Oreochromis niloticus: one gene and its partners. The protein of the gene in region 1 purifies or fractionates together with the protein of each later gene. This does not show direct contact. Links are inferred from orthologs where the notes say so. Each region holds a gene or a part of one and is shown on either strand. Other genes may lie near its edges. The genes, in order: rc3h1b, cnot11, cnot9 and cnot7.

Region 1 (7,792 bases):
GCTCTAGTGGTCAGCAGCAAAGGGGAATGTCATCCATCCATTTATCCATTCATCCATCCATCTTTATGCCCAGCAGCTAAGCCGCTCTGCATTGTGCTTCATCGTCTGTACTTCTCTTTATCCCCTGGCCCAGTGATAAAGATAGCATGATACACCAGCCACGTGGATTATCTTTGTAATGGACTAAGTGTGATTCATTCTCTCCTGTATGACAAGATGAGAACATATTGTCTTTCACTAGATTACAGTTTGTTGTGTCACCGCAGTATTCAAACACCAGAAAAAGGAAATCAACAAAGTTGAAGCCTGTCTTTAAATATCATATGCAGCTCTTTATTCTACAGTTTATAACCATGTTCAAAATAACAACCTTTATTAAAAGGATGGCTTTAAATAATAGTGCAACTGGTGAAAAAAGATAACAGTGTGTCAGGTCAACAAGTGACGAGCGAGTATCAGATATAACACATAATTGATACTCGCTCAGTATCCCCAGTGCACTGCTTTTGATAATACTCGACATCATCTCTTCCCTGTGATTAAACCCGATTATCAAAATGTTTGTTTGGATTGTGCACCAGGCATAGTTGCCTCATTGGGTAGATTTTCTCAAGTGCAGCTGTAAAAGTGAAATTTATGAGGAGAGGATATAAATAGTCCACAGAGATTATCTGTCACTATCCTTGCCAGGAACTGCATTGCTCACCTTAAATAGGGTTCAAGTTCCTGGGCCAGAATGGCTGAGTCTGAGGTGTCCAAAACAGGATGGGCACCTGCAACTGACATTAAAAAAGGAAAAAGATATGAGCATATATAAGAGCGCAGTCAAAATTTCTTCCAGATAAAAGGATTTCTTGTCTTTGTTTCTTCCTTCACCCAGACATAATGTGCTACAGCACATTAAATTATTGTTTAATGTTCCATTTTTTAGGACTTGCCTTGCGGCAAACACAACTGCAGAGAGAGCAGTCAGCCATGACGTGACCTACAAGGACATTTGGGTATCAAAGAAATTGGGACTTGCTATGATCAAAGGGATTTTCATAAACCTTATAACATTACGTTCAGATTAGACTCAGTGGCAGTCTCGGAGGTCATCCCTAACTCATCTTTAATCTCGGACAAAAAAAAAAACCCAAAACAAAACAAGACACACACACGCACACGCACACACACCCATACACAGATTATGTAACTGCTGAAGGATAAAAGCAGATTTCCCAGAGACAAGAGGGCAAAATCATCTCATCATCACGGACTTGCACCTGCATCTCTCGTACTGGGCATTGAAACTGAGATCTGTGCAATACTACATGATCATTGCATGGGAAAATATATCATCTGTCATCCTACACACATACAAAGACATCCATTAGCGCGCCGGCAGAGATAAAAAAGACAGGGACACTTCCCCCACTGCTCTATTAATAGTAACACCCGCATGCACATCTGCACATCTGACATCTGTTCAGCACTGGGAACCAGCCAGGTTACATTCTGCGTTTCAATACAACATTGTAGGTAGGCAGACTACGGCTGAATGGGGCACTTTAAATGGCTGCAACAGATGGAAATCATTCTAAGCAGACAATGTGCATAAATTATTGACAATTTTCCAGCTTTAGAAGGTTGTTAGGGAAAAAAAATCAAATGCAAAATTTTACATTTTCTGTCCTCATCCAAAATGCTAACACGCCACAGGAGCTGATCCAGCTCATAACATTCGACTACACTTCATGAGGAAGCTAAAGTAATACAGAAAAAAATTATGACTAAGTCACAACCTGTTATTGAAACTATATCAAGTATTGTTGTCATAAATATGGCAGCATGTGTTTTTTTTTCTTTTTTTAAATAAAGGCACGCTACTAAAAATGCTATTATTGTATAGCATAATAATACTGCAAAAGTAAAGTTATGTATTTCATGCCATGGCCAGGAGTTTCAAAACACTTTACAGCTTATTTATCAGTAAAGTATTACTAAAGCCCTTCTCAGATGGCTCCATGCATTACTTTTTAGCTTTCTCTATTATTTTCCTTAATAGACCTACCATTATAATCCACTCTGTACGTTGTTTCTTCATAATAGCCAGTGATTTCTCCTTCGTGCAGTTCTCTCACTTCCCTGTAGTGTTGTTGTCTTTCCCTTAACTTTGCATAGGCCCTCTCCTTCACCCTCAGTTTATCATCAGCGCAAAGGACTCCACTTTGTGAAGACATGCTCTCCGAGCTGTCTGAACTGCACAGTCCTTTATTGGGATCAGTCACATCTGTCTCCCTCTGCTCATACTTGTCCAGGTACCACTCCACACTATCAGACTTTTGGATTTCAGAAGACACATCATAGTCATTCGCCAGACCTCCCACATCATTCTTGTTGCCTGCTTCAGCCAGTTTAGGCTTCCTCTGAGGCTCTGCTAGTGCCTCTGTCCGAGTGTAGTCCTTTAGTGGTAATGTGGGGGGTGTATTGTGAGGGTCAACCCCATTGAGAAGCAACGTTTCTGGACGTGCTACTCTCCAGAAGCCCTTTGGAGGGGCCCAGTGTCTTGCTGAAGGAGAAGAAGTGGAGGAAGTAAAGGACGATGTTGTAGAAGCAGAGATGTTGGAGGAGAGCACAGGTGGTGGTGGAAGAGGAGGAGGGGAAGGGGATGGGCCATCCTTGCTAGTGCTTGAGTTGTCAGACAGAAGACTCTCCAGACTGGTGCCCTCTCCAAGCCCACAAGGCTGACCTGTTGGATGACTGACCTGTCCATCATTGTTTTCTGACTGCTCCTCTTCCACTTCCTCCCCCTGCTGTACAACTTGTGCTTCAGCGGGAGGACTGTGGATCTCCAGACTGACTTGTACCTCTACCTCCTCCTCTTCATCACTGCTGCTTAAGTCCTTTGCACCACCTGATCGCCAGGAGGGAGCAGGCAGAAACAGCTGGCCTTTCACTTTGGGTCTCTGTCTAAGGAGGACTTCAGATGAAATGTGCCCCGCTGGGTTGCTCACCAGCACCTCCGTGTCAAATCTTTCTCTGTCTTTCTCCCTGTCTCTTCCCCTTGTTCTTCTCTGCGTGATCGACTTCACCTTGGTCTGCAGGGCGTGCACAGCTGAACTTTGAGCAGGGGGAGGAAGAGAAGTATTCAAAGTAGTGGTGGGTGGGAAAACAGGCTCAGGAACAGGCCCAGTAATGAGTCCCCAGTTTATGGGAAGCCCGGTGGGCAAAGGGGAGCCGGATTTTGATTGGATATTATCAGCGGCTTTCTCTTCCTCCATTGGCTAGTCATGCACAAGAAAGTCCAAAGAGATTCTGAAAATAAAGAACAAGAAAGATAAAAACATTTCCTATTCAGTGTATTCTACATCTCTGTTACCAGATACTTTTTTCCTGTGTGCCGGGTAAGGAGATATGTAATGTGGACTCTGTCACGTTGCCTTATCCAGTGATTACTTTGCAGGGCACAGGATAATCCTTTGGAATCAGAATAAGCAACTGCTGCCTGCAACTGAGACCCTACAGGGAATAAGCAGTATTATATGTTTATGTTTGGTTGTATATATCAGAAATAATAAACCATTTTTTTTCCTGTTTGCCATTCATTTATAGAAAAACTGGGGGGGATCAGTTAAAGTATTTAAAATTCATTATTTACCCATAAGAAATACGCACAGTGGCAGTTTTGTACAGGCTACTGTTGGTAATTATGCAAACCGCCTCCATAAAACCAATTTTAACACATCATTATCATTAACAAAGTAGCTTCTCATCACATTAAGAGACAGGTTGGTTTCGCTATTAGAAGGCTAACAAACATTTTTTAATGTACCTGCACTTTTACTGAAGACGGCGTACTTTGACATGCAATCCCAGCGTCGATGGTCACGAGAAAGTTGCCATAAATTCTGGGGCAACCGCACAAATTAAAGTTGCCCTCCATAATAAAAAGCTGCGCCAAGCGTGCAGTTTTTGCAGCGCGCATCCTCGCGTCACCAACTGGCAAGACGAGCGACGTCCCCGTGGATGAAATAATAATGATAATAACAAGATTTCCAAATGTTTCTCCAGATTCTGAGGTTCTGTTTTCACTCTCCCTCTCTCTCTGTCGCTCTACGTAGCTCCGAGCGGTGTCAGGCGAGTCAGCGGTCTCTCAATCATGCCTGGTCTGATAATCCCCTCAGAAATCAGTGGGATTAAACAAAAATGGAATAAAAAAAATGCCTGCTTTAATTTCGCTCTTGCCTCACGAACCCGACGTCGAGTGGAGCTCTGTGTTGCGCAAGTGCACACACACCGATTCCCTCCCCGCTGTAAAAATAATAATAACCCAATGAAAAAGAGAAAACAATTCTAGTAAAATGGCTTGGGGACCTCTCGCCCAAATGAGATATCCCAGATACTTTTCAGTCTTTATTTCGGTGACTCTGATTGCAAGGAAGTGGGGTATGCTGCGTTTTAGGGAGCACGGGTCTAATTTTGTCTTGCAAAAACAAATGTCAGCTGATTCTTATTTGTCAATACAGCTCCCTCCCTCTGTTTTAATCTGTCTGAGCTCTCCTCTTCCCTTCTTTTGTCTATGTTTCGAAAACAGATACACAAACATATTTAATATATATGCACTCGTGCAAACTCAGCAGTTTAACTGTGAAAAATGTTCCCAGATGTGATCTTCTCAGCACCTGCCCAGTTTCGGTATTTTGTGTGTGCGGCTCAATATCAACAGAGGGCGCCATTTGCCCACAATCCAAACGCGCACACGCAAAAAAGAAAAAAAAACGCGCGTGCACGCACACATCTTTTCCAGCTAGCTGTAACCGGCTAGCGAGTCTGTCGTCGAGTTGACACCCTCTCCCAAACCTTGGCAGCAGCTAAGCTGCACAGTCGACATGGCAAGAAAATATCGCAGCAATTTCCTAAAAAAAAGATGAAAAACTTCCAAGTCTTTTGGAATAAGTGAGTAGCATCGACAATAACGATTTATCTGCTCGGTGAAAAAACCCAAAGTAGTAGTTGCATGTTTAGTTTTAGGCACATTAGTGACGCATAGAGATTGTTAGCGAGCTAGCTAAGAAGCTAAGCGCTAAGAGAGTGGAGAGAGTAACATTTGTTCATTAGCATGTTAGCCCTCTGTGCTCATTCCGACGACAAGAGCGGTTGAGTTATGTGCCCCTCAAAACAAGACTAAAGCACAAACCTGGTCAGTTCTTAAGAACTTTCTGGTATCGAGTTGTTGTCACTGTGTCTGGTGAATATAAAGACATTTTGGGACAGTTTCGTTGCTTTGAAGTTACGGGTGCTAGCGTTACATAATCTGACTTGTTGTGTCTCTTAGATCTCGTTTCCTTGAACAGCGCCTCCTCGAAGGATAATTAATATCATTAAAACTGTAACGTATGAGCAACTGTGACTATATTCAGAGCAATAACTGTGTGACAGTCGGTCAGCGAAAGGTTTCAGGTCGTTAAGCAACTGTTTGCTGATCAAACGACGTTTGCCCGTAGCTAAGCTAGGAAACTAGCCACCCATAGCTTCCGATGCTAAAAGTAAGCTAACGTTACCTAGAGTTAGCTAGCTATAAAAGCGTCTCGTATCACTCGTAAGATTAGTGGGTGCATAACGAAACACCGAGATGGTCACAGCAAGGATAAAAAATACTGGGCAACAGCGCATTGTTGGTACAATATTATCAAGCACTATCACCAGACGCTAGCTTTATATCAAGTTAGAGGGACTTGGTGGTTAGCCTATCCTATACCCTTTGTCCATAGTCATAGTGATAACCAGCTCTTTTTTTTTCTCTTTTTTTTTAACTAGGCCACGCCGCAGTTGTTTTGGTCCATCTCAACCATTTGTTTGATTCCGACTTTACAAATATGTGTTGTGTCGCGTCTGATTTGCCGTTACATTGTTTTGTTGGGCTTGAACAACGTAATTGACAGGAAGAGGCATATTTTCAGTGCGGTTAGTTGTTCCACGGGAAACCTGCTTTATAACCACACGGCATAGAATGCATTTCTCAGCTGCAAATGCACTCATGCACAGTGTAGCCATGTTTTATAGTGTACTTCTACAATGTTTTGATGTAAAACTAATAACAGTATGACACGTTTTATTAAAAAAAACGACAGTTTGTGAATGCGGCAACAACTATAATTCCGTTTCTCTTTCTGCTTTACAGTATTCATCACGAGATGTGATCCACAATCCACAATGTGTGAGGACATTTAAGAACGATTGAGTTCGGAAGAAAAAAAATTGATTCCAGTGGAATCTTTCATTATATATATAAAATTATTATATATTTTCCTCTGTGATTAAGCTCACATACATTTATACACACCCATCCCATCAACATATAACCATGCCAGTGCAAGCACCACAATGGACAGAGTTCCTGCTGTGCCCGATCTGCACACAGACATTTGAGGAAACTGTTCGCAGGCCCATCAGCTTAGGCTGTGGACATACAGTCTGCAAGATGTGCCTGAACAAGTTGCACCGAAAGGCCTGTCCCTTTGACCAGACAGCCATCAGCACAGACATCGAGCAGTTACCTGTCAACACGGCTCTGTTGCAGTTGGTGGGAGGCCAGGTAAGACCTTTGTTTGTGTGTGTTTGTCATAAATTGCTAAACAAATGTACAGAGATCTGACTTTATACCGCCTGTGCTGAGATTTTGTTGACGCTATCTTGTGGTTAAGAATACTAGCTCATGGGTGTGGTTTTTTTGTTTTTGTTTTTTTTTTATAGTAGTGAAACATTTTAAGACACCAATCCTGGTTTTAAAGGATGACGTTTTCTGTAATTACTATGGATTGTATTTGTGTCACACATGGGTTACTACATGGTGTACATACTTTTGGGATTTCTTTCTGAGTCACCCTGCAGTCATTGAGCAATGACTTGAATTATGCTGCTTTACTGAGTGCTAGCGCATTCACTAAAGCCGTATTTCTCAGAGGGAGTGTTATACCAACAGGGTGAGGCACAGCTAATGGTGTCTGGCTTTGTTGGCCAAGTTTCTAAGTTAAGACTGCAATAATGGATAACGTCACTGCATCACTTGTAATGCTGAAATGTGTCTTCTCTAGTCATCATGACTGGTATGGCTTGTCTCTTAAACAGATCTTAGTCTTATTGCACATTTATGCTAATATAGTTTAACTAGGTAGGACTTCCTTAAACATTCCCTGTTTGATGTTGAAGTCGGTTATTCATATATATATGTATATATATATATATATATATATATATATATATATATATATATATATATATATTAGTAATGTAAAATTTGCTTCTATGGTGGAAAAATATGACTATCCCTACCACACGCGGTGTGCCCCACACACATGTATTTGGACAGACTGAGTGATAATAATGGTGGCAAACATTATCAAGTAGCACTCAGCTTTGTTATGACCTTTCTCGGAATTGGCCTTAATGTGCTGACGTTAGCCTTTGTGAGCTTTGCTTGTGGAAGATTGCAGCAAGAGATTTTGCTAACATTAATGAGAGCATCTCAGCATATTAATATTTCAATACATGCTGTTAGAATATAGTTAAGTGAAACTCCTTGCACAAATGAAAATGCCTGGTTTTGAGGGTCTTTGACAATCTTCAGCTGATTACTTAAAAGACAATTGTGACTAAAATATAAAAAACATTCTAATACCAGCGATTAGTGAGAATCCACATAATTTGAAATTAAATGTAATATATTTTAAGTAGTGATTATTTTAATTGTTGTGCAAAATGAGTTGTAACGTGTTAAATTGGCCCTCAGTCCAAATTGTTTCTTACCGTA
Region 2 (7,768 bases), on another chromosome or scaffold:
AACAACAGACTGTATAATGAATCTCTCTGGGTCTGGGAGTGATGGTCGGACAAAAGATGTCAATTTTTGATGTGGCTAAATATAAAAAATTATCATCTTGTATAAAGATGCATACTGTCCTCCAGTGTCTGGAGAAACAGAAATAAACTCCCACTATCAATCAGCTGTAAACTATCAGGCTTATCCTCTGATTAATCCATCTCATTCCATTTTATTCCTGTTGATTTCACATTCTGACTCTTTTCAAACCATTTTTCAATGTCTTGTCTTAATATATTTGTCTTGTGCTTTTCTCCTTTTTGTGAAGTAGCAACGTTAACCCTGAAATTCCTCTCTGGGTTTATCTAGTTGCACTCCAAAGGCAGCTGGTGGCAGCACCATAGTTTCAGTTTAAATAGAATTTCAGTGCCTGACTTTAAGAGAAGCATTCTGTGGCTGACCCACCTGTGATTGCTGCTGTGCAGACAGCGGGCTCTTGAAGGCCTTGGACATGATGCGTTTGATCTCCACGCCGGTGCTGTTCTTCACACACATGGAGCGATCCCACTGGATGCTGTGATCTGGCTCGGTAGGGTTCAGCCACGCCAGCTCGTCCTCACACACGTGGAGAGGAGGCGGCGGCCGGATGAACTCAGGGCGGAAGTGACCTGAGGATTAAACAACGATATTGAAACACTTGTGATAATCCTGGTCTGTTTCAGACTTAGCTTTATTCATGGGTGGCGGTCTACTCTAGTAACCATGGCTACATGTGTGCCAGCTTTAAAAGGTGTTCTCATGTTCAGAGAGCGATGAATTGTAATATTGGGACACCACGACAAAGAGCTGAAGCTCTGATGCACACACTAGTGAGACTTTCAGGTTCTTGTGTGACCATGCTGCTTCATCTGACTTATGGATGAACATAAGTCAGATGTGCACTTGACAGCTGAAAACCCACAAAACTGCCAGCAAAGCAAAACGTTTACGTGCTTTTCATCTGTGATCTCCTTATTCACACAGCTCCTGTCTTGTAAGCTAGAAGTGAATAACCAGCCCAACGTTTTTTTAGTGATGAGAAACATGATGATAAGACATACTCTTTTCATTTTGCAAATTGCGCACACGCACACATACACAGTGAAATCACTGACTCAGGGTCTTTGTGTCATGTCAAATCATTCTGAAAAAGATGGAACACGATGACCTACCGAGGTGACCTCCTAAATTGATCCCCCCTCCCCCCACCTCCACCTCCACCAACAACAACCGTGGTCAATCCTAAAATCCCTTTTAACGTTCTTTGTTTTCTGCATAACAAAAGCCTTTTTTGAAAAACGAACAAACAAATCACCAATAACACTTACTTTCCAGGGGAGGGCGCGGGCCTGTGACCAGAGACTCTATGATCTGGTTGGCCACAGAGCTGTCGAATCCTGAGTTGGACGAGTCTGGGTCTGGATCGTTGAGAATGCTTGGGAAACTGGCCTTACTCTGAGTGGGCAACTCTGACTGACGCTCTAAACAACAAAGAGACAGAAACAGTGAATTAAAACATAAGAGAAACAAAGTGCACTGCAAACTAAAGAAGAAAAAAAATTGTCTTTTAAAACAAACCAGTATAAACAAGTGACAGTTTTGACCAGTCACACCTAGTCTTTCAATCAGTAGATCATTTATGGGTGAGTGGGTACTGACCTGCCAACGCTAGCTGCAACCCGCTGATGTCTACAGACTGGGGCATGTTGCCAACATCCATGCAGGACACCTGTCTGGGTGTCTTTTTGAAGAGATCCCTGGGAGGTGCCAACATCAGTTGGGACAGGAAGAACTTCTCAGGTTGGGTAATGGGAGGCAGGAAGCCTGGACACCAAACAGATGAGACTTCATAGCCCTCATTCATCATGTTACACAGTCACACCAAGACTGCCAGTGTTACTGGGTGTTTTCCAACAAGAACTGAGCGCAAATGTTTAATTGAACTGAACAAGTTTTTGTGAAATGAGAAACAGTTGGCTGATTTCTTTCTCGGTGACATAACCAAAGTCAGGAAAAAGCGTTTTCACACGGAGACCTACCGGACAGCACCTTCTCCTGCTCCTCTCCGGCAGGTGCGGGGTTCAGCAGGTGCGCGAAAACAGCGGCGAAAGGGTTAGCGGCCAGTGGCTCGGTGCGGTACATCTCCCACAGCAGGTAGAGGGCGATGAGCCGCTGCGGGGAACTGGGCAGTAGGTCCGGTTGCTGCAAAAGCATGACCAACACCGAGCCCACCCTGAAGTGCTCCGCTTTCCCGAAGTAATGATGAAAGTGAGTGGAGAGGCTTTCGAAGGAGTTGGTGCAAGCCTCTTCCGAGATGATGCTCAGCAGGTTGGACAGTTCCTTCGGAGCGAGTGTCATGGTTTCCTCAGCTGAATCTTTTCTGCTTGGGCGGAACCGTTATAAGACTGTATTGTTTTTCTTTAAATAGCTAATATAGCAAATACAGCATCTCCGCAACGAACCGGGTGTGTTTAATTCATATTTGAAGAGGAAATCTGAAAAGCTACAGAATGAAAATAATCAAACGAGTTAGCAAAAAGTTAGCTTAACTAGCATTGCGGCGCTAACTGACATAAAGCGGCATTTTCATAGTCATACCAAATATTCCGCCCCACAAACTCCACTCTGCCCGGTGCTGAAACTGCATAACAGTCTTACAAAAACTAACAAAACATTAACCGATAGAAACATCCAAGTTTGTCCAGGTGTTTTCACGACTGTTGAGAATCGGTGACCGATGTATTAGCAGTTTAAATTCACGACAGTACGTCGGTCATACCGAGCTGCATCATGGGTGATGTAGTTTCGTACAGTGGCGTTTCACTTCCCCCTTAAAATAAACTCGCTAAAACACTTTATATAATCATTTAAGTCATCTATAGGAAAGCAGAAATTTTAGACTCGAAAAGCGTGAAGCGTCATCCAATAAGAGTCACTTTTAAAGCTACAGCTGATCATAAAATAGTGGTTTGACTAACTAAAGAGCTTCTTCCTTTACCCATCAGTCCTAGCGTTACGTTATCATTTCCGGCGTTGTCCTGTCGAAATAAAGTGATCATTGTCGATACACTCACTTAAAAGTGTTCTTTCATTCAGTTTTTTAAAAACCTTTAAGCAGGTTTGTGAATATTTTTTTTTAAAAAAATATTCTCAGTTCTTGTGACCATACGTATTTAATTATTATTTCTTAACTCTTCTGTACGCAGTTTCTACCGTCCAGTCCGATAAATACACGGCAGTAGCACATGCTTATTGTTAAGACATTTATTTTGCATTTTCACTTAAAGAACATTGTGCTTTCAGTCATGTTCACTTTGGAAAGGAGAAAGCTTCTCCTGCGGCCTGTTCTTTCAGGTAGATCCTGAAGAATGAGATGGAAGAAATAAAATGAAAGCGATGATCTAAAGAGAAACCAAAGCTCCTATAAGAAACTCAAACGTGATGAGTGCAATTCAGCAGGGGCGCGTCCAGACTTTTTTTTTTGCCAGCTGATTGTAGGGTGTCTTACTTTCTCTCGTGGTCACGTTTAATGAAATTATTACTAACATAGGAGGGGGGGGGGGGATTTAACTTAAAATATTTTGTGAATCTCAACCCAGAATTGTCCTGTTTAGAGGTTAATGTCTGCACTGAGGGCAATCAAACAGATTCCTGATTTTCTTTTCTTTCTTTCTTTCTTTCTTTTTTTAAAGGCCTTGGAGAAGCTGTCCATAACATTTCACAGTTCATCTCATTTTTTAATCCACACTTTAAAGGGATATTGCAGGCTAAACAAAAACCAGAGTGAGCCAAAGTTTGGAGCAGCTCAAACGATTTGCTGTCTACATTAAAGACATTCTGTCTGAAGGCTGGTGATCGCTGTGTTCACATATGAACTTACACCAGGTTTTTTTGTTTTTTTTTTAACCTTTTCAAAGAGGGTTGTGTGCTGCTTCACACTACACCTTCTGTTCTTTGTGTGCTCCTACAGGGAAGTGTGCAAGTTTCTGATGAGTTGTATCCATTTTAATCTGGACAGCACTTTGTGCTTAAACTTGAAAATACATGGATATATAAATAAATACAATAATATCTGAAAATGTCAGCTTGGTATGTAGGTATTAAAATAATTATTTGCAGCCACACAAGAGAGAATCTTTACCTTACGAGCATCAAGAAAAAAAGTTTTCTTCCTTCAACTCAAACATCTATTAGGGGAAAAACTGTTTCTCATCTTATTTGTTATTTAATTTGGCATACTCTGGTTTCTGTGGTAAAACACCTCTTAAGTTACACTGTACATTAAGGACACACTGTTTTCAGGTCCAAAGTCACTTCAGTCAACAAGGGAACATTTGGTTCTTACTGGTTCTCACACACACGTGCACACAACTCTTCACACACACATATGGCACAAAAATATCCACCTTTTTCTGAGAGTCGGTCTTACGTCCAAGCACACAGGACTTCAGTTAAAGGGCTATTACAAGCAAAAACTGCACAGAAACATCACAACCTCCAGCCGGTCAAACAGACATCATAAAGCAAGCTGGTGAAACTACAGGAAAAGAAAGAAAACAGAATATGGAGAATAAAAATGTCCGTTATATATCAGGCATGCAGTCAAACACACTGTAAACTTAAAAAAACAAAACAAAAACTGATAACAGCTCCAGAATCTCCTCCTGGCGATTAGATCAGGTCCACTTTACTACACGACAACAAAACCACGATGAGGTCGGACACAGGAGAGCTTAGTTCTGCTGTCTGGTCTGACCTCGGTGATTGATCAGATCTCTTGTGGATTAGATAAAATGTTAGTTTAGTTACACACATACATTTATGAAGCTGAAAAGCCGGTTCTGCCTTTGCAGCGTCATTCAACACAGAACTAACAAGAAAACTTCAGCTACTGGAAAACAGACAGTTCCACTTAGACGTCACATCACAGCAGGATGTGTGATGTTAAAGGAACTTTCTATGAGGACAGAAGCTCAGTTTTCACTGAATACTGTCCATGAAGAGAGCAGGATGGCATCCAATCAACTTGCAAAAAGGTCACTCACACAACTTCACTGAGTTTAGTGTTACTGAAGATCTTTGTGCTGTTCGCTTTGTTTAACATAAAAACCTTTCTGACTTGTAGTGTTTTCTTTTATTGTTTCCTTCATGTCAAGTTTATCTCCCAGACTCCGCACTCAGAGAACACCTTCTTTCACCTCATTGGCAGATAAGGCTCTTAGGATTGTTTTTTTTTTTTTTTTTTTTGGCAGATTGGCACCATTAAAAGTGACGCAGGATTAGCTTTTACCAGTTCCACACTACAGTGTCCATTTGAATCAACATCACTGGCTTATGTCTAGATTTCAGCTAGATTTTCTGTTACTTATTATAATAATCACTCTGTTGTGATCATGTCTATGATTTCTAAAAACATTTATGAACATTTAACCACACTTACATACTAAATGGTTTCACATCTGTATGATGCATGCAACATGTGCTGCAAGAGAACAAATTTCTTATGTCAACATCTTAAAATCAATTTCTTGTGATTAAAAAAAATAAAATCAAATGTGTCCTACTCATGTCTTGATCTTCTGGGTGCAGTCATTTATTTTGATAAGTAGGACTTAGATTATTAGGACAATTATCACTTCTGCAGCATACACACATTTGTATGACCGAGACCCGAAAAAACTAAAGTGTTGTCATACCCTGAATGTATGGCAACACCTGTACCATCAAGTCCCACTTAAACATTCTTTTCTAAAATGTGTGTAGTCGTTCTTAAAAGAAACAAAGCTGTTGTGTGGCTGGAAAGCACCGCATTTCATAATTTCTTTGAATTACACTGGGTTGACAAGAAGATACCCAAAGAACTTTACTGACATTTTACTTGCAGGTTGAAAGGTCTCAGGTGTTTTTAAATGAATATCTCACACCTGAAACAACTCTTAGTCCTAAAGCACTCAGGTAAAGCCTGTTATTGATTAAGTGGTCGTTTTGTTTTCACAAGCTCTGACTTTCTTGTGATCAATTAGTGTGAATTTAAGGAGACAAATGGCAACGTGGAACAGGGTCACATTTTCCCTTCTAGTTCTTGACTGCAGCTGTGATTACAGACACGTTTGGCTCAGTCAGCGTAGTGCATGATGGACTCTACGTAGTTTCCAGGGAAGAGACCGGTGGTCGAGTTCATCACTCCTTCAAACCACCCGTCCTCGTTCTTCTTGATGACGTATATGATCGCTCCTTCTTGGAATGACAGCTCGTCCTCCTTGTCGGCCGTGTAGTCGTAGATGGCCACCACTGGAGGGCGACAAACACACCGAAATATGATCACAGAAGGTTCAGTCATTTCACCCGAAGCGGTGCAGTAAATGTAATTACATGCATTTCAGTTTTTATGCACAAATGAAAACAAAAACAAAAAAAATAATTAGCTGCTCACCCCTGTGACTAATGCAACAACTAATATCCAAAGCAATTAATGAGTATAAAAGACATTAATACCTGACTTAGGTATTACCTTAAATCCAAGTTGTGTTATTCTACCCGGAGACGCAGTTTGAGGCTACATATATGAGCAGCTAATTCAAAGAACACTGGTGGAGTGATCTAAGACAACCTCATAAACAATGCTAACTGTAAGTATTTTGTTGCCTCTGTGTATTTCTGTGGCGTACCTTTCTCTAAGTAGTTCCTGGGGGCCCACGGTGGGTCTTCTTCAGCATACGGGTCGTTATACTCCACTACTGCTGAGTCCTCCTCTTCATGCCCATCCTCAGCTGGCTGAGGAGTGGGCAGGGGCTCCTCGTGCGCTACTTGGTTCTCAGTGGCAGGCTGCGGGGGAGGGGGGGCGTCTGAAACTGGAGGTGGGGGATACTTTACATAACCAGAACTGAATCTGGGCTTAAAAGCTGATGATGTCATCCGTTTTGACACACAGATGTTCACGAGAAAAATGATGTGCAGAAACATTTCTCTGATAAATTACTGAAAAAGAATCCAGATTAATACTCACTGGACTCCTGAACTCGAGCTACAAACCCCATCAGAGGAAGCTGAGGGGTGAACTGGAGCAGGGAGGGGGGCGTGGGAGAGGCTGCAAACACAAAAGACAAATTTTTACCAAACTTTCTCAATGTGGGAGTGGAGTGACTGGTGGCTGCTTTTATACTGCATACCTGGGCTCTGGTTGTAGTAGGGACCGCCATTGACCTGATTCTGGGTTGTAATTGGCTGACCGGTCACCGATGGGGGGCGGCGGTAAGGCAGTGACCCCCCCACCTGTGGGGTTTGCTGTCGAGGCTGAGGCCGGTTCATACTGTAGAACTGAGGGACGATAGGGCCTGACCAGCAGAGAGGGGCAACGTTATGAACTCATATTTTCTTAATACAGTGCGTATCAATCAATCAGTGACTCATGATTCAATTCAATTTTAATTTTCTGTGTGTTAAACATGAAGGAAAGAGGTAAAGATTAGCTCCCTGGAGTGGAGATAAAATCCACAGAAACAGAGAGACAAAGGAAGACTTGGTGATGTTTGGAGAGCAGAGGTGTCCCTGAAAACTCACCTTCAGTAGGTGATGAAGAAGAGGAGGAGGAGGAAAGTGGAGGTGGAGGGGCAGGGGGAAGCAGCTCCGACTGGACTTCGGATGTGCTTGGGGAAGAGTTAGAGGGTGGGGAGGTGCCGGCATTTGGCGCATTCGCTTGCGAGTTTGCTTGGGAAGGTGAGCTGGCATGTTGAGAAGGTGAGCTCGGAGG
Region 3 (7,853 bases), on another chromosome or scaffold:
GTCTGCAATTCTGTTGAAGAAAGATGTTGAATCTATTTAATTATTCTTGAAAAATAATTGATTTCTGTGCATTTTTTTCACCCTGCATCAAATTAAAGTTGATTACATCAATTAAGCATCATGAGGTGGAGGGTGGTTCCCTTTTTTTTTTTTTCCTGGGAGTTTGCAACCCTATTAGTTAGGTTGCTTAATATTTCTGCTAAGTACTCTTTAAAATACCAGAATAGGGAGGATTAAGTTTATTAGATTGATCAGTATTGCTGAACTATGAAATATTTTGGGCGCAGTGTATTTTTTTACATACAGGTATAACAGAATAGCTTTAGTGTTGTTGTTTATTTAAACTTGAGTATGAACTTATACAAAATGCAGCAATATATTAAAAAACAGTTTTATTGATTAAAAAACACACTATATCGGATTCATATCGGTATCGGCAGATATCCAAATTTATGATATCGGTATCGTATCGGACATAAAAAAGTGGTATCGTGCCATCTCTACCGTGTACAACATAAAATCGGTCCGAGGTCAGTAAGCACAACCAGAATCCATACATTAGGTGCACCGGATTATAAGGTGCACTGTTGATTTTTGAGAAAATTAAAGGATTTTAAGTGTGCCTTATAGTGTGGAAAATTAGGTACTTTCATTTAGAGCTGCCACGATTAGTCGACTAGTCACGATTACGTCGACTATCAAAATCGTCGACGACTGATTTAATAGTCGACGCGTCGTTTGAAGCTTTGTAAGATCACAAAAGACGCAGGAATAAGTAGTAGGATTTAAAAGTGTAATAACGGACTGAAACAGAAGATGGCAGCAGTGCATGTAAAGGATGCCAGCTGCCGTTAAACCCCGAAGAAGAAGAAGCTGTGTCCCAGAATTTATAGTGCGGCCCAGCGCAGTTGTCAACAATGGCGGCAGCTAGTTAGTTTTAATATTACTCTTATTATTCTTTCTGGGTCACAAAATAAACGTTTAACATATTTTCAAGCTGTAAGTTTTACGTCCAATCGATGCATGATCTGATTAGTCGACTAATCGCAAAAATAATCGGTGACTAGTCGACTATCAAAATAATCGTTTGTGGCAGCCCTACTTTCATTTAAGGCTTAAAAGCCTTGTTTGTATCAGTGAAAAGAAAAGGTGAGGTAAAACATAAAAAAAGAAGCATGGTTCGAGTTTAGTTTTCTGAAATTCCTGATTGAAACAGAACAAATGAAGGTAAATAAAGTGGATAAAACTCAAACTGCTCTGTATTAAAGGCTTTCTTTAGTATTACTCTGCTCTGCAGTAAAGGTTTTTCTTTAGTGTGACACAATTAAAGCTTCTAATTGTCCCCTTACCGTGTCTCTGGGTGTGAGGCAACACACTGCAGGAGTGCCAAGGCATTGCACACTCGGTTAGACTGATGTGCTGTGAGTGTCGGTGGGTTAATGGATGGATAGATGTTCACTATTTCCTACAACGAGAAAGGAATGCATCAATGGTGCACAGCAAACGACACTGGGCAAACAGAACTCAACAAGTGGTATAAACTCTAATGGTAGGTAGAGATAAAAAACGCTTACAACCATTTCAAGACCTAGTGCCCTGGAAGTGTCTTATAAATTCAGGTCAAGTTTTAAAATATACTAAGAGCTCTTAACAACAAGCAACAAGTACCAATGTAACATATTATGTACATAAAAATAAATATAGCAAAATAATTCAGAGTAATGAAGAAGGGTTTAGTAGCTCACTTCATGTGAGTGGTCTGTAAGGCCTAGCTGCTGTGCAAACATGGCATGACTTGTAGTCCCTGACACTAATGGTTGTGCTGAATCTTTGTAAAGCCTATGGCGTAGCTTATGTAAGTAGCCATGTTGTCAACATCATTTATGTTTTTGTGCATTATGTGTTAATTAGTGTGTCTTCTGGTGTTTTATATGTGGAGCCAGCCGACAGGAACAAATAAAATGCTGGTACTTTATTACCTATATATCTTTCTCCAGTAATCTGTTGACATTTGTGAATCCTTATATTGAGGAGATCCCTTATATTGAGGAGATGATCGTTATTCTGTCACTGAGAAATTCAAAAACTAAGGTGAAATTAACAGGGGGAATCTATAGTACTGGATAGGCCAATCACAGTACGTGCTGTGGATGCTGTGTGTGTTAAATTTCTAGAAGGGTGCATGTCCAGTTATGCCATAGGGTTAAAGATTCAGGTTTGATTTGAAGCATAAATTCCTAGTAACACCCTAACAAAAAAAAAGAAAAAAAGAGAGATCCTGATTTCCAACAGGTAGAGAGAGGCAACAGATCTTACCTGCAGGAGAGCAGCGATAGTGCCACAGGAATGCCAAAGCATCGGTGCCAAGTCTGGCACAGATTCGCGTTTCTTGCTGAGCTCCAGCAGGGCATTCTCTCTGGTCTCTGGGCTGGACAACTCATTGATCCACTGATAGATCTTTTCCCGGTCTACCTGAGCCAGGGCTGTGACATTAGATACAGCCTGTAAAAGGCAAAGTGAGTTTAAAAAGCATGTCGTCTTGGGTCTGTGTTTGAGAATGGGTGGTCAATGTTTTATGTAAATCAAACAAAAGGATGAGGAAGCTCCATGTTAAGACGGTTCGAGACTTCAAAGCAAAGTAAGGTGAAATTACACTCACCGCTCCCGTTGCAAGCATTCTCCGAGGCTCTCTGTGGCGTCTTTATGTCGTTATAAACAACTAAATTTGATTAAGTGTGGTGAACGTGGTTGCAATGCAAGTAAGTTGGCGTAACTAGCACGAAGCTAGCCCGAGCTGACTGCTAAATGTCCTGGCCTATGAAGACAAGTACCCGTGTACATTAACATAACTTCAAATTTGCCGAAATAAAGGGAAAATGAATACTATCAGTCTAATTTGTGCGCTTTAAACCACACTAATTAGCTCAAAACTAAACGTAATTCACACTAAAACTAAAGCGAGGCTTAGCTTGGCAGACCCGTAGACAGCCTTAATACAAATAAGTGAAATATCGCGAGATGAAGATCCTCGGTCATTACTTCCGTTGTAAATTTTCACATTCCCGCCATCATCGCGCAGCTCAGCGACGCGTCGTGTGCTGCTCTGCTGTCAACAGCACCGGAGAGCAGGTGAATGCCGGCAAAACAAACTTTCTGCCTGCTCAGCAGCTACAGAAGCGGCACCGGATTTTTAGAAGTTTGAAGACAAGCTCTCGTCATCGATAGGTAAGTACCCGCTCGGTGTAATCGCAACGCGATACGCTTTTCATCACCAAATTACAGACTAGCAAATTAGCCAGTTAGCTAGCGTCCGTTAGCCTTTTAGCCGAGGTGCTAACGTCGGCCTCCTCCATCCCATTCAGGGGCTGCGGACGAGCATACGACATTATCCGCATCCAAAGGGGCTTTTTAACTTTTGGCTATCACCTTTTCTTGGCGTTACCGGTTTGAACAGGTAATTCTGTGGGAGCATCGATGCCTTGAGCTGAGAGGGAGCATCCCGTGTTGTTGTGCACGTACCAATCGTTGGGTGCCGCGACTCAGAGTGGCCGTTAGTTTGGCTAGTTTGATGGCAGATGCAAACATGGGCTTTTATTGAAGCTGCTAGCAAAGAAAATCACAAGGCGCGAGCTGCCACACGCAGCCAAAAAAGCTGTTTTATTTGTCAGAAATGCATGGCGAGCGTGCTGTCCGCTTTTCTGCTGCGAGATGCTGCGCTGACTCCTGTCAGCTTGTTTTTGGATGGTTTGTACTTTCTTGTGACTTTGACAACGTGGGTTGCCTGCTCTCGTTATCTGAGCTTAGCATCGGAAACTTTGAAGTTGCTTTCACCGAGACGGTTACAGGTGATGTTAGTGTTATTACAAGAAGAGGTGCTATGTTCATTTTAGTGGCTGCTTCTGTTCGTTAAGCTCATTACTTTCCTGCAGTATTTAACTAGAGTAATCAACTTCAGAACTCATACCTGACCATTCGTTTAAACTGCTCCTGCTGGACACATTCAGTTGTTATAAATATAATGTGCTCAGATTGTGTGACAGCGGATCCAATTTGTCTTTTTTAGGATTAGTTTGAGTCCCAGTCTCCCAAGTGCACCAACGGGATAGCAAGCCATGGCAACTGTAGTGCCCAAAGTCTCCAGCGGTGGGGCTGTGAAGATCCGTTTCACCAGTCTGGACCTGGGCACCACCAGGTGGAAAGAAGGAACGTTTGAGATATTGGAAAAGGACAATAAAGTTAACCTCTGCCTGAGATTCAACTGTGGAGGAGCTTCCAAAACTTTCCAGGTATTTTACTGCTACTTTTCTCCCCTCATATTTATTTCTGCCTTAATTAAATCAACACTAGTTGATGGCTTGTTTAGAAGACCCCAAATATAATGTCTTACTTTCACATTGGTCTTTATTATTGTTATTTTTTTGTTAATGTCCTAAGAGGTACTGATTTCGATTTTGATGGTCTTTTTTTATTATAATCTAGCAATCTTTTCCACTGCATCCAGATCGAGTATTGTTTTATCTGGGTCAGCTGGCTCAGAAGGTACTGTGGGTTGCCTGTTTTTCTTGGGATTGTTGGGTCAATTCACATGTCAAAATAAGATTCCTTGGGGTGAGTCATGTCACCGCCTTATTTTGGTGTGTATGAGTGAATGTGTTGGACGAGAGGAACGTTATAAAAAAATGTAAGAATGCACCAGACGTGCAAATTAAACAGCTGATTAAAAACAGAGGAAAAGACACTGAACCCTCTTAATCCTGCAAGAAACTCCACACACACACACACACACACACACACACACACACACACACACACACACACATATTTGAGTTGCTTTCTTGGTTGAAAAGACTCCTACTAATGGATGGCTAAATGAGGAAAATAAAATATGGTATTTCTTGTTAAAGCATTACAGGAACAAACTTGTTAAATGGCACCCTATAAATCAGTCTTACATGTCTGATTCATGTCAGTACTAGAAGAATCTAAGCTGTCGGCTTTGAGGCATTATGCAATGAATGAGCAGTAGCTCTGCACTGAAGCCATGAATGAACCGGATTAGAAACATAATCTCACCCATGGCACATGCCAGGGTTTGTTCAGCCCTCAGGTCAAGTGTTTTTAATCCATGCCTGTACTTCTTTTATATGATCCCATATTCCAGAACTAAAATATTTCAGACTGACTGATGTGATTGGGTCTGAAAAGAATAATTAAGCACGTAATTCGTAAATGGCAGTCAAATAGAATAGAATATAATAGACACCCAGTCAATCTTGAATTAGTTGTACAAGTTAAAATTAACTCTAGTTTGTGCTGCAATTATGTGTGTTTTCAGGTTTTAGAAAGTCTTAAATGTACTTCACATGCAGTTTTCCCCACTCATACTGATGTACAGTAACAACTATATATTTTCTGCTTTCTTTGAAGTTTCTCCTCTGTCAGAAAAAACAGCTTGATAACTTTAATAGTCAATATTACCCGTCCTCTTATTTTGAAAGTTCAGTTTCAAACGGCTAAAACGGCTAGCTTCCTGTCCTCTTTTTCCCTACTGGTGAACTTCTTGTTTTTGCAGTTCAACTTAACTACTCCTATCTTAGTCCTTATTCTGCTCTGCTGATCTGCTGTGACCTGGTGGGTCACTCTGACCCAGACCTGCATCAGGAGATAAACTGGTTCATGCCTAGTAGGCCATGCAGGACAAGGACCACAGCATCTGCTGCTGTTTAACTCCCCCCTACTAGGAGTAACCTTTGATGCTCTTTTTATTAGATTAGCGATTTCTGTTATATTTTAGGCCTGCCTTTGGAACAAAATGCCTGGGTTTAAATCGGAAGTTATTGAGGGTGGTCTCTGCCTATGCAAACCACATCTTTATTCATATACTAAGGTGTCAAAACTCATCTTTATGGATGCAGGGGAGGTTGTCAAATGTTGTTTTGATGGGGAAAGAGTTAAGACAGTGAGGCTGGAGTTTGTCTAAGAGATCAGAAACTCAAACTAACCCATTCACACAAAGTTTGTTATTACTTTCTTTAAGGAAGTGTGTGTGCCTTCTCTCGATCCCCTCCTACCGACACAATATAACTGAAGTTTGTAGGGAAGTCTGGAAAACTTGGAGGCTCTAACATTGTAATGAATCTGTCTTGCTCCATTGCTAGGAAAGGCAACAAATCTAACCCTTAGGACTGTTATAATTTCCACACAGACATATAAGAGTCTGGAGCAAGAGAAGTAAACAAAAACAAACTTTGTCATCACACTCACGTGTTCTGAGTCTCTAGTCACTAAGAACCTCACTCCTCAGATAGCATGATATAAGACAGGGGTCCCCAATCTCAGTCCACGAGGGCCGGTGTCCCTGCAGGTTTTAGATCTCACCCTGGGTCAACACACCTGAATCACATGATTAGTTCATTACCAGGCCTCTGGAGAACTTCAAGACATGTTGAGGAGGTAATTTATCCATTTAAATCAGCTGTGTTGGATCAAGGACACATCTAAAACCTGCAGGGACACCGGCCCTCGTGGACTGAGATTGGGGACCCCTGATATAAGACCTATCGAAGAAAGTAATAGCTGATTGAGTAAGGTTTGTCATATAGAACTTTAATAGAACTGTGAGCCAGTTTGTTCAAAGGTATACTTTATCAACAAGTATGATAGGAGGAGGATGACGATGATGATGATGATGATAATAATAATAATGATAATGTATTAATTACTATTGTATGTAATAGTAATCATCATGAATCTGAGTATTTGCTGTTCTTTGCCCTCAGCTGAACCAGAACGTGAAAAATATTAGCCAGAATGTCAACCGCATCGTCCTGACTCTGAAGGATAACAGTGTCATTACGCTGGACAGGATGCCTCAACCTTTGGTTCAGAAGACTAAAGAATACCTTGAAAAGCTGAAGCAAGGAAAGCCAGGTAATGACACCCCTGCACATTAAAAAAACAAAACAAACAAAAAAAATTGCAAAGATTTTTTTAAATTTTTTAGGAATTAATCCTTGTATGCTCTTCCTGCAGAGAATGGTCACTTTTTCTCTGCATCTTCATGTTAATATATTAATATTTCTCAAGTTGATGCAGAGTTTCAAGTAGTGATGTGCGCGTCTAGCTGACCAGTCGACTAATTGTTGCTATTGTCACTAGTTGATAACAGACGTACTAGTGATTTAATCTATTTGTTTTACATTTAATTGATACCCAATGCCAGTAACAGGGTTCGTACAGGTGCTTGAAATCCTTATCCTTACAAATGCTTGAATTTTGTCTTTTCAAGGTTTGAAAAGTGCTTGAATTTCAGATGTTGTGCTTCAAAGTGTAATTGTATTTCATTCACCACAAATAACTATCTGATTGAATAGGTTTCTTATCAGATAGAGAAATAAAATTAGTTGCGAAGTATAAAAACAAAATTTCTCCACCTGGGCTGCCTTGCACCTCTGCATGTCATCAGTTTGCTTGAAGAACAGGATTCATTTTTATCCTATTAAATAAACAAAACATCTGTAGCTGTCATGAAGACTTATGCAACAGGTTGTTGTGAAGTATGGTGTGTGTTAGTCTGCTTTTAAATCTATGATCTGAATGCTTTATTTTGCCTTTAGGGCTTAATGTGCTTCAAACTTAACATCAGGGCAATGCAGCAGTGTTATTTTTTTTCTTTTTCTTTTTTTTTCTTTTCAGTTCAAGCACATGGATTAACTTGAAGCGATTCTGACTCTACAATGTAACGGAATCATTTTTATGCTTTTTTTCCCCCTGAACTTTTTGTTTATGCTGCAGTTTTAAAATCATCCCTTGGAAGTGCCAACTTCAGTGTGCTCGTTAACCGCTCTGTGAAA
Region 4 (8,013 bases), on another chromosome or scaffold:
GTCAACTCATGTTTAATTTGGACAGCTTTTTTCTGGGGGACAAAAAAAAATTGTGTAATAAATTAAAGTGCCAAGTCTCAGGATTCATTTGAGTAGGTTTAGATGAATATTACAAAAATGTAAGGGAGCTATAACCCTTTAACACACTGTACCTGTGTAAAAGAAAGCCACAAAACAAAACAGAAATGTACTAGAAGAATATCTTCCATTCAAATAAAAACTAAAAGAAAAAGAAAAAGTTGATTTCCAAAATCAGCTGGTTGGGTCTTTTGTGGATCCGCAGAAAAAAAATATAGATGGTGGCAACAAACTATGAATGCACTTCAGGATGCAGCGTAGATGTTTTTCCTTCAAGAAACGACTCCCTGTCCATGACTTCAGAGGTCTCACCACCGACAGGCTGCAGTTTGCAAAAAATGTACAAAAAGAAATAAAGTAGTGTTTTGGAACCACGTTCTGTTGGATCAAACCAAAATTTACCTCTATTAAAATGATTAAACGTCTCTAGGAAGGGAAAAGCTTGTGACATAAAACACCACATCATCTAACATCGAAGGGCTTCTGTTAGGATTCGTGCACGTAACCCTGCCAAACGCCCTGGCTCACTGGTGTTTATTGATGATTTCACTGCTGGCAGAAGCCGTAAGTTGAATGCAGAGTTGTGCTTACATTCAGCCAATTGCATCAAAACCTGTTGGACGTTTCATTATTCAGCAGGACAACAATCCTCTATGTAAAACCAAAAAGCTGACAAGAGTGAAAAGATGGGAAATTCTCGACTGGCCGAGTCAGCCCTCTGATTGAGCACCACTCCAAAAGGTGGCGGTAGCTGTCACTAGCAGCAAAGAGCTGAAAGTGTGAGCAGTTGAGGACTGGGAGATCATCAGCAGGGAGGTTACAAAGCATCTGCCACTGTCTTTAAGTCAAAAACTTAAAGCAGCCGCTTACAAAACTGCAAACATGATGATTTTGTGTGTACCTGAATAACTTTTGAGCACCAAAACTCTGGGTCCCTGTCTCACACACTTCTCTCTGTAGTTTTAATGCAATACTCAAAATTAAAGCTGAGACTTGGCAGTGTAGTGTAGTATTAGTTGTTTTATTTCAAACTCAGTGTGCATTAAGAAACAGTGCGTAGACCAAAAGCTGTCCAAATATTTACATCCTGCGTGTAGAAAGGATTCATGTCCCGTTGAAGCTGGAGTGAAGACTTTTACACAGAAAGAAACAAACTTATTTTACATCCAAGCCCTTTGTCAAATGCATTCACACAAAGCGGATCAAGCCCATCAGATAAATCTCTCAGCATTTTGTAGTGACAGAAGGATACAGTGCCACACTACAGTAGTAACTAAGGGCATGGCACGGTTTGCTTACTGCCAGAAGGGGCAGACAGCGACAGCATGTCCACACTGCAGAGTTAACTGCAAATCTTGATGCATCTGAATTCAATGAGAAAAATAAAGTCTGATTATTAGAAGGATTTTGGGGGGCTTTGTATTGCTGGTTTTTAGGGAGTCAGAACCCAGTACTGTGCGCAGTTACAGTATTTCACAAGCAAGACAGCATCTCTGCACCATCTTTCCAGCAGCCGTGAGCGCTGTCTTTTTAATATGCTTAAGAACGAGCTGGGAATACTGTAAACAATGGAGCACCTTTGTATGTATAACATGTAGTTTAAAAAAAAAAAGGCAATAAAGGTTTTACTATTTGCACGCACTGATGGTCTGTTATCAGCTGATCAATCCATCTATGGGGCTCCAGCAGGAATACAACAGACAGACAGACTGGATTGCAATCTTACGTGAGGTTAAACTTAAAATTGAACTGCCACGTTGACGTCCCGGGTGGGTAGTCCCCCTGCTCGTTCATAAATGTGAGGCCCAGCTGTATTATCTTGAGCAAATCCACGTTGCAGCGCAGCAATTGGTACTGATAGTCAGCGTTGCTTCTGAACTCTCCGATCGGTCTGGCTACAACACCTGGAAACTCCGTGTCCTGCAAGCAGACGAGTCACGATGAACAACGGGAATGTGGGCATGGGAGGCTCGGCGACTGCAGCTCTACAAGCACCACTCACCATAGCAATGTAGTTGTACTTTCGAATGACATGTCGTATCCTCTTCAGCTCCTCCTCCAGGTTGTTGGCCCAAACCTCACATATTCTTTGGCTGTGATCCACAGTAGCTGCGGGCATAGTGCCACTTCACCATGCAAGGAGACAAAGAATTGTATTGGAATATAAACACAACATCTGCAACGTGGTGCATAAGTGTACTGTCACAGGTCAGCATATTTTATTAAAGGGGGCTGAACAAGTGCACTTTAACACCTAAACCAAAGGCACAGAAGGACTCCTGACACAGCACTTGCCTGAAAACAAATGAGGCTTCTATATTGGGCACAGGAAATAACTTTAGCCTGCTTGTGGTACACTAGGTAAGCTAACTTTACTCGCAAGTAGTGTTTCTATTCTAGTATAATGTATGCTAACTGTTGTTACATAAAGGGAACCAGTGGGAGGAGCAGCTATCTCCTCATGATGAGCAGGACGAGCTTAGCCGACTGCTCTTCGCATTAGCTCGGGTTTTCGGCAGCACTTCGGCTAGCTAGGTTACCTGCAACAGTTAGCAGGCTGCAGAGCTAGCATTAGTTAACACGGGCAGGAGGAATAGGAGCTCTGTAATGCGACAAAGCAGCTCCTGTAGGTGGACAGCTAGCTCACAGATAACTGAGACTGTGTGCAGAACATGAAAGAGACTGGTGCAAGCGCGCACACACACACACACACATACACTCGGCGCCACTTTGATACAGCAAAGGTGAACGTAGCTTCGTTAACTTACCGTTCCCCAAACCGGGCGGGTGTGTGTTTTAAGCGTGTACTATCAGAAAACTGTTAGTTTGTTCCACGTTATTGTGTCGGGGGAGTTTCCGCTAACTTTTAAATACTTTATATTCAGTATCTATTGATGTCAACCTACGGCTGCCATCATAGCTGAGCCTACAACTGGACGTCATCACGTAACACAGCAACGTCATACGCGTATATACGTGTGTAAGTATAGCTTAAGCACAGAGCCCTTGAAAACTGTACTCAAATTTCTTTTACTATATTAGATATGCACTAGTGCTCCAGTATAATGAAAATAAATACATGAATAAAATTCATTTCAGTAAATAAAAACACAACAACGACAACAATAATGATAATTATAACCACAACAATAATAATAATGTTGTTGTTATTATTATTATTTACATTTGTCAGCAAAGTATGAACAACAAAATAAGACCAACCCAGAAACTTAAAGAATCACGATCAAAACTAATTTGGTTATGATTGTGACAAATATATTGCAGCATTTTATTCTCCTGATCCAATCACATACATTTAAGAATACTTTAACCTTCCTGTTAACTTAACTTATTGTTTTGTTTGTGGGTGCGGTAGTGCTTGTGTGCTACACGTAGGATTCTGATGTCTTCTTCATTATCTCTCTCTCTCTCTCTCTATATATATATATATATACACACACAGTTGAGGGAGCTGTGAATGTTTTCAACTTTTTGCATTTAAAAATAAAAAAACAAACAAAAAAACGTGACCAACTAAGTTCTAGTCTTGTGAGATACTCCAAGTTTTGATATGGATCCCAAACAGTCTCTGTATTACTGATACCATTAGCGATAATTTTAATTTATACCAGCAGCTTATGGACGATAGAGCAGTGTGTCATGATTTATAAAATTGATTAGCATCAATTTGCAAATTTTGAACACATTTTAATGGTCACTAAGTCGTCACAATAATTAGTTTACAAAACAAAAAAACATCATTGAGCTTTTCATGTATTTGAAACTGGGTTTTATTGGAGACCTGGAAGGTAAATGTGCCTGTCTCTGAAGCACTGTAGGTCAGCTTCTGTTGTTTAAATGTGATATGGGCAATAAATAAAACTGACATGACAGTCAACACAAAAACATTCAGACATCTTTCATAGTGCATGTTTGATATATATATATATATATATATATATATATATATGTATTTTAAAAACCAATATATATGCAATTCAGTGGGCTACATACTGAACTTAGAGGATAGAAACAAAGCCTCGATCCTATCATGCTAGTATCATCTGATACCAACACCAGCACTGATATAGATGCTATCAATATTTGGATTGATCTGCCCACCTCTACTATTCCCTTTCCATATTCGTTACTATTCCTATTATAATTTTTAAAACTTTCTTTTGTTTTGCTTTGTTTAAACATAAAGAGGATTAAAAAATGATACTTAGGAAAACGCCAAAACAAAACTGGAAGCCAGCTAAAAGCTAAAAAATAGTTATATATAAACACATGAACAGTCGCAAGCCTGCAGTGTGGACCAAATCTGCCTCTTTTAGAAATTAAAGTTACTTATGTCCTTCCTTCACCTTATATGATAACCATTTGTCCCAGTCTTTTAAAATGTGCTTTTTGTCCTTGTTCAGTTTGTAGTTTGAGTTCTTGCAGCAGCAGGATCCTCTCAACAACAGTCAACCGCAGTCTTTACCTTCTGTTTTCAGCACTTAGCCAACTGTCTGTTCAGTTTTTAGTAGAGGTTTGGTTTAATCTGTACATTTTGGAAAGACTACAGTGACAAACCAAAAACTCACACCCATAATAAATAAAAACAGCTGAATGAGCCATGGAGCAGGACTGCTGGCGGTGGCAGCGCTTCAGGGTCTGGCTCCCCACCAGCACAGCTGTGCAGATGTTCGGCAACAACAAGGAGACTGAAGCCTTCATCATTCATCCCTAAAATGAGGGGCAGTCTTTACTGCCATTAACTTAACCTGACTGATGATGTAATGCAAATCTGTTTTATGGTGATTAAGTCCAAACATCAAATATATTGTTGTTTTCAGATTAAGGATTTGAGCCTTGCTGCTTTGTGTAAATAATGTCAGACTGTGCATTTATGAGGCAGCCTGCTCGAGTATCTGACTAGAGAAGCAAAATTAGATCAGGAGAACGGGTGACCTGAATACACAAAGGCTCTCTTTTTGTGCAGTGGCTGTATTTACTTATACTGTACTCCATTCATGAATGAGATACTGTAATCTGACTCTATTCCCACTTAAATAAAACAAGAACAATGTAAGTATATGGCAGAAAACTGACTTAAATTTACATAAGTTTGCCTTTCGAGCACTTTTGCAAACCTATCTTGATCCAACTGAACAAATGAGGGCAGCGTCACAAAGCTTTGAGGCTTTTTTCTGGTATTTTTTTTTAATACAAGGACAGAATTTGGTATGACTCAGACATTTTAGACACTGAAAAAACAACAACAAAACAAGCATTTAAAGCGAGGTCAGAGGAGACAAAAATAGGTTATAGTACAAAAATATTTTCACATGCTTTGCTCGGTAATCTTTGCACTGTTCTTTAGCAGGAGTTCACCAAAACAATAATGGGTACTACACTACTATAGCAAGCAGCTTTACTGCCAGTTGGACAGCTGAGATAACACAAACACTCAAGGAGTCTCTGTTGGTCATCTGCTGCCCTAAGCAGCACCCTGTTTGTGTGTTCACTTGCTCCGGTAGTTCAGTCGTGCACTGATGTCGAAACACGCTGCACAGACGTTTATTAAATCACTTTGTCTTTTCAAAAGCTTCCTTTTACATCCCTTGGCGGTAAAACCCCGTGAAATCCTATAATATGCTGAAACATGGAGGAGTGGACCACAAGGTGCTGAAAACAAACCACTGACCGCTGGTTATTACAGTGTAATGACTCCCAGCCCCAGCTGAGGTCACTGTGGGCTGCAGAGTGAGTTCACTTCAGTCATAAATATAGTCCTTTGGGGTTGAAGTGCTGCTACATTTGGGCATATCTGAATCACTGCTACTCTTTCAGCATTAAATGTTAACTAATACCATGTATTACTGGCCTTTGTTCAGAGCACACATCATGTCATTTTACACTGTTAAGGTGTTTACATTGTAAAGCAAAATATCTACTGAATACCCGCACGGAAGAGCAGAAGCAAAAGCAAATAGAAGCACTTAAATGGCTTATCATTAGAATTACAGTAAACTGCAGAGAGTCAGTCTTGCTCCTATTTTCTGGTGAATATGGATTAAAATGTCCAAAAATGTAAGCTTTCTTTGGACTCTTTAACTGAGACAAGGTTAAATACAGTCAGCTACAGGAAACAACTATGAACACGAAGGAATGCAGGAACATGGAAAGTCCACCATGCATGCAAACAAAAGTGCAAGCAAACCGTGCAACCCAAATAAGACCCGCACTGAAATTGGCCAATAGTCGGGTCACACGATCAACGTAATGGTAGTGTTTGTTCAGTGTTGCTCAGGTGACGTCTGGCCGGCGTTGCGCCTCCCACCCAATCCTCAGGCAGCCGAGTAGGCTGCCTCATCGGAGTCCGGATCCCTGGTGCTGTCCTCGCTGAGAGGTGAACGGCAGCTCAGGTCCGCGATCCCAGACTCCTGGTCGCTGCCGTTGGAGAAGCTGGCGTCAGATATTTGGTTTGTGCTCTTTGGCAGGAGGATGCTGTCTGGTCCTTTAGGCTGGCAGGGGCTGCCGGTGATGAAGCCGCCGGTGTAGTCCTGAGGAGTGTTGGCTAGACTGAGGTTGTTACCAGGAGCCCACACCGTGGGGCTCTTATCAAAGGTGGTTGCTTTGCAGGAATCACTGCACTCCTGCTCCTGCTCCAGCTGAGAAATCTTCTATTGATAGTGTAAGAAATGAAGACAACAGTCATTTCCTATAATCACAAAAACATCCAAGTGGAATTTTCTTTTTTTTCCCCTTTGACTTGTAGTATGAATTCACAGTGATCAGCTATAATATTAAATTCACCTCCCTAATATGAATGCAGCTGTCAAAACATCTGCGACCCATCCAGAGATAGGCTCCAGAACCCTTTAATAAAAGTGTCCTGTGGCATCACATTAGCATGGAATAATATTTATGTCAGAAGTTATCAAAAGGCTCCAAAACTTGCCCTAGAATATCCGATTTGAAAGATTTCTTCAGCTAATCCAGTGCCAGTTTTTAGTATATCCACTGCCACACAGCAAATGATATCCTTTGATAGTTAATTCGGCAAACTTCATTTTCCAAATTTTAAACAAAAAACTTTTAAAACAGCGCTAATTTTGCTGTAACTCAATTTAACACAGTTGTCGGTTCGTGGCAAATCTGCTGCAGTGCTTGCAAAATAGACACTGTTGCACACATGATGGCCTTTTTGTGCGCAGGTTGTTAAATTTACTCGCAAGGAGTTACGTTTTTTTTCAGCATGCTGCACATACTGGAGAATTTGGGAAGGTCTGGGGAATTTGCTGGGCTGCATTATCCTGCTGGAAGAGGGAATATAACTGCCGTGTTGGGGTGAATGTGACCTGCAGCAAAGTTTAGGTCACTGGTTGCCAAAGTAACCAGTGACCTTTGAGCATCACACCACCTCAGCTAGTTTGACTTCCTCCCACAGGTCACCCTGACAGTATCTTCAGGTAAACACAACATATGTCAGTGTAAAAGAAAAAATGTGATCAGACAAGTCCTCCTTCTTTCATTACTTTGCACATGCATACCACAGTTTGTAGGACCACAGGAATCAACATGGGAATTCTGACTACTCTGCTGCTACATAGCAAGCTCCAAAACATTGTTTTATTATAGCCACCAGGTTTTCAGCAATTTCTGTTACACCTATGACCTTTTTTAAATGGTTTTAAGCTTGTGGCTGATCAGCATAGCCCTGTCCTACCTGTGTGTGTGAAGTGAGCTGCTCCTCCAGCTGCTGTGTCTCCTCCTGGATGGCCCGTAGATAATCCTCTACGGATTGCCGTGGATGCATCCCATGGTCAAAACGGTTGTACAGCCCTTTCCAAAATCTCCACAAAGAAAGAGAAATGCATCAGCAGAATAAAATTTCAATGAATGTCTTTACCTTTCACATAATGATTATCTTCCTGATTACAGTGT

What was found.
Region 2: the proteins of rc3h1b (region 1) and cnot11 purify together in Homo sapiens (affinity purification with mass spectrometry, with the first as the bait; 4 studies listed by BioGRID). This does not show direct contact. The link is inferred for Oreochromis niloticus from reciprocal best matches to the Homo sapiens genes RC3H1 and CNOT11.
Region 3: the proteins of rc3h1b (region 1) and cnot9 purify together in Homo sapiens (affinity purification with mass spectrometry, with the first as the bait; 4 studies listed by BioGRID). This does not show direct contact. The link is inferred for Oreochromis niloticus from reciprocal best matches to the Homo sapiens genes RC3H1 and CNOT9.
Region 4: the proteins of rc3h1b (region 1) and cnot7 purify together in Homo sapiens (affinity purification with mass spectrometry; 5 studies listed by BioGRID, with this or other methods). This does not show direct contact. The link is inferred for Oreochromis niloticus from reciprocal best matches to the Homo sapiens genes RC3H1 and CNOT7.

The regions. Positions count from the first base shown.
Region 1 is NC_031982.2:15,300,171-15,307,962, reverse strand, and holds the start of rc3h1b (roquin-1), read left to right. Parts: upstream 1-4,791; 5' UTR 4,792-4,938; intron 4,939-5,179; exon of another isoform or gene 5,180-6,124; intron 6,125-6,163; 5' UTR 6,164-6,346; coding exon 6,347-6,577; intron 6,578-7,792. Other genes in the region: uncharacterized protein si:ch211-13f8.1, read right to left, coding at 707-779, 2,054-3,263. UniProt on the Homo sapiens protein: Post-transcriptional repressor of mRNAs containing a conserved stem loop motif, called constitutive decay element (CDE), which is often located in the 3'-UTR, as in HMGXB3, ICOS, IER3, NFKBID, NFKBIZ, PPP1R10, TNF, TNFRSF4 and in many more mRNAs.
Region 2 is NC_031987.2:29,387,721-29,395,488, reverse strand, and holds the start of cnot11 (CCR4-NOT transcription complex subunit 11), read right to left. Parts: upstream 3,005-7,768; 5' UTR 2,798-3,004; intron 2,792-2,797; exon of another isoform or gene 2,617-2,791; intron 2,522-2,616; exon of another isoform or gene 2,399-2,521; 5' UTR 2,377-2,398; coding exon 2,058-2,376; intron 1,843-2,057; coding exon 1,678-1,842; intron 1,500-1,677; coding exon 1,347-1,499; intron 648-1,346; coding exon 445-647; intron 1-444. Other genes in the region: abl interactor 2, read right to left, coding at 6,134-6,309, 6,687-6,869, 7,025-7,105, 7,188-7,352, 7,579-7,768. UniProt on the Homo sapiens protein: Component of the CCR4-NOT complex which is one of the major cellular mRNA deadenylases and is linked to various cellular processes including bulk mRNA degradation, miRNA-mediated repression, translational repression during translational initiation and general transcription regulation.
Region 3 is NC_031987.2:6,945,552-6,953,404, reverse strand, and holds the start of cnot9 (CCR4-NOT transcription complex subunit 9), read right to left. Parts: upstream 3,004-7,853; 5' UTR 2,678-3,003; coding exon 2,660-2,677; intron 2,503-2,659; coding exon 2,317-2,502; intron 1,466-2,316; coding exon 1,350-1,465; intron 1-1,349. Other genes in the region: usp37 (ubiquitin carboxyl-terminal hydrolase 37), read left to right, coding at 4,113-4,286, 6,780-6,930, 7,795-7,853. UniProt on the Homo sapiens protein: Component of the CCR4-NOT complex which is one of the major cellular mRNA deadenylases and is linked to various cellular processes including bulk mRNA degradation, miRNA-mediated repression, translational repression during translational initiation and general transcription regulation.
Region 4 is NC_031966.2:31,931,448-31,939,460, reverse strand, and holds the start of cnot7 (CCR4-NOT transcription complex subunit 7), read right to left. Parts: upstream 3,016-8,013; 5' UTR 2,847-3,015; intron 2,205-2,846; 5' UTR 2,198-2,204; coding exon 2,081-2,197; intron 1,999-2,080; coding exon 1,805-1,998; intron 1-1,804. Other genes in the region: mtmr7a (myotubularin-related protein 7a), read right to left, coding at 6,414-6,749, 7,796-7,922. UniProt on the Homo sapiens protein: Has 3'-5' poly(A) exoribonuclease activity for synthetic poly(A) RNA substrate. Its function seems to be partially redundant with that of CNOT8.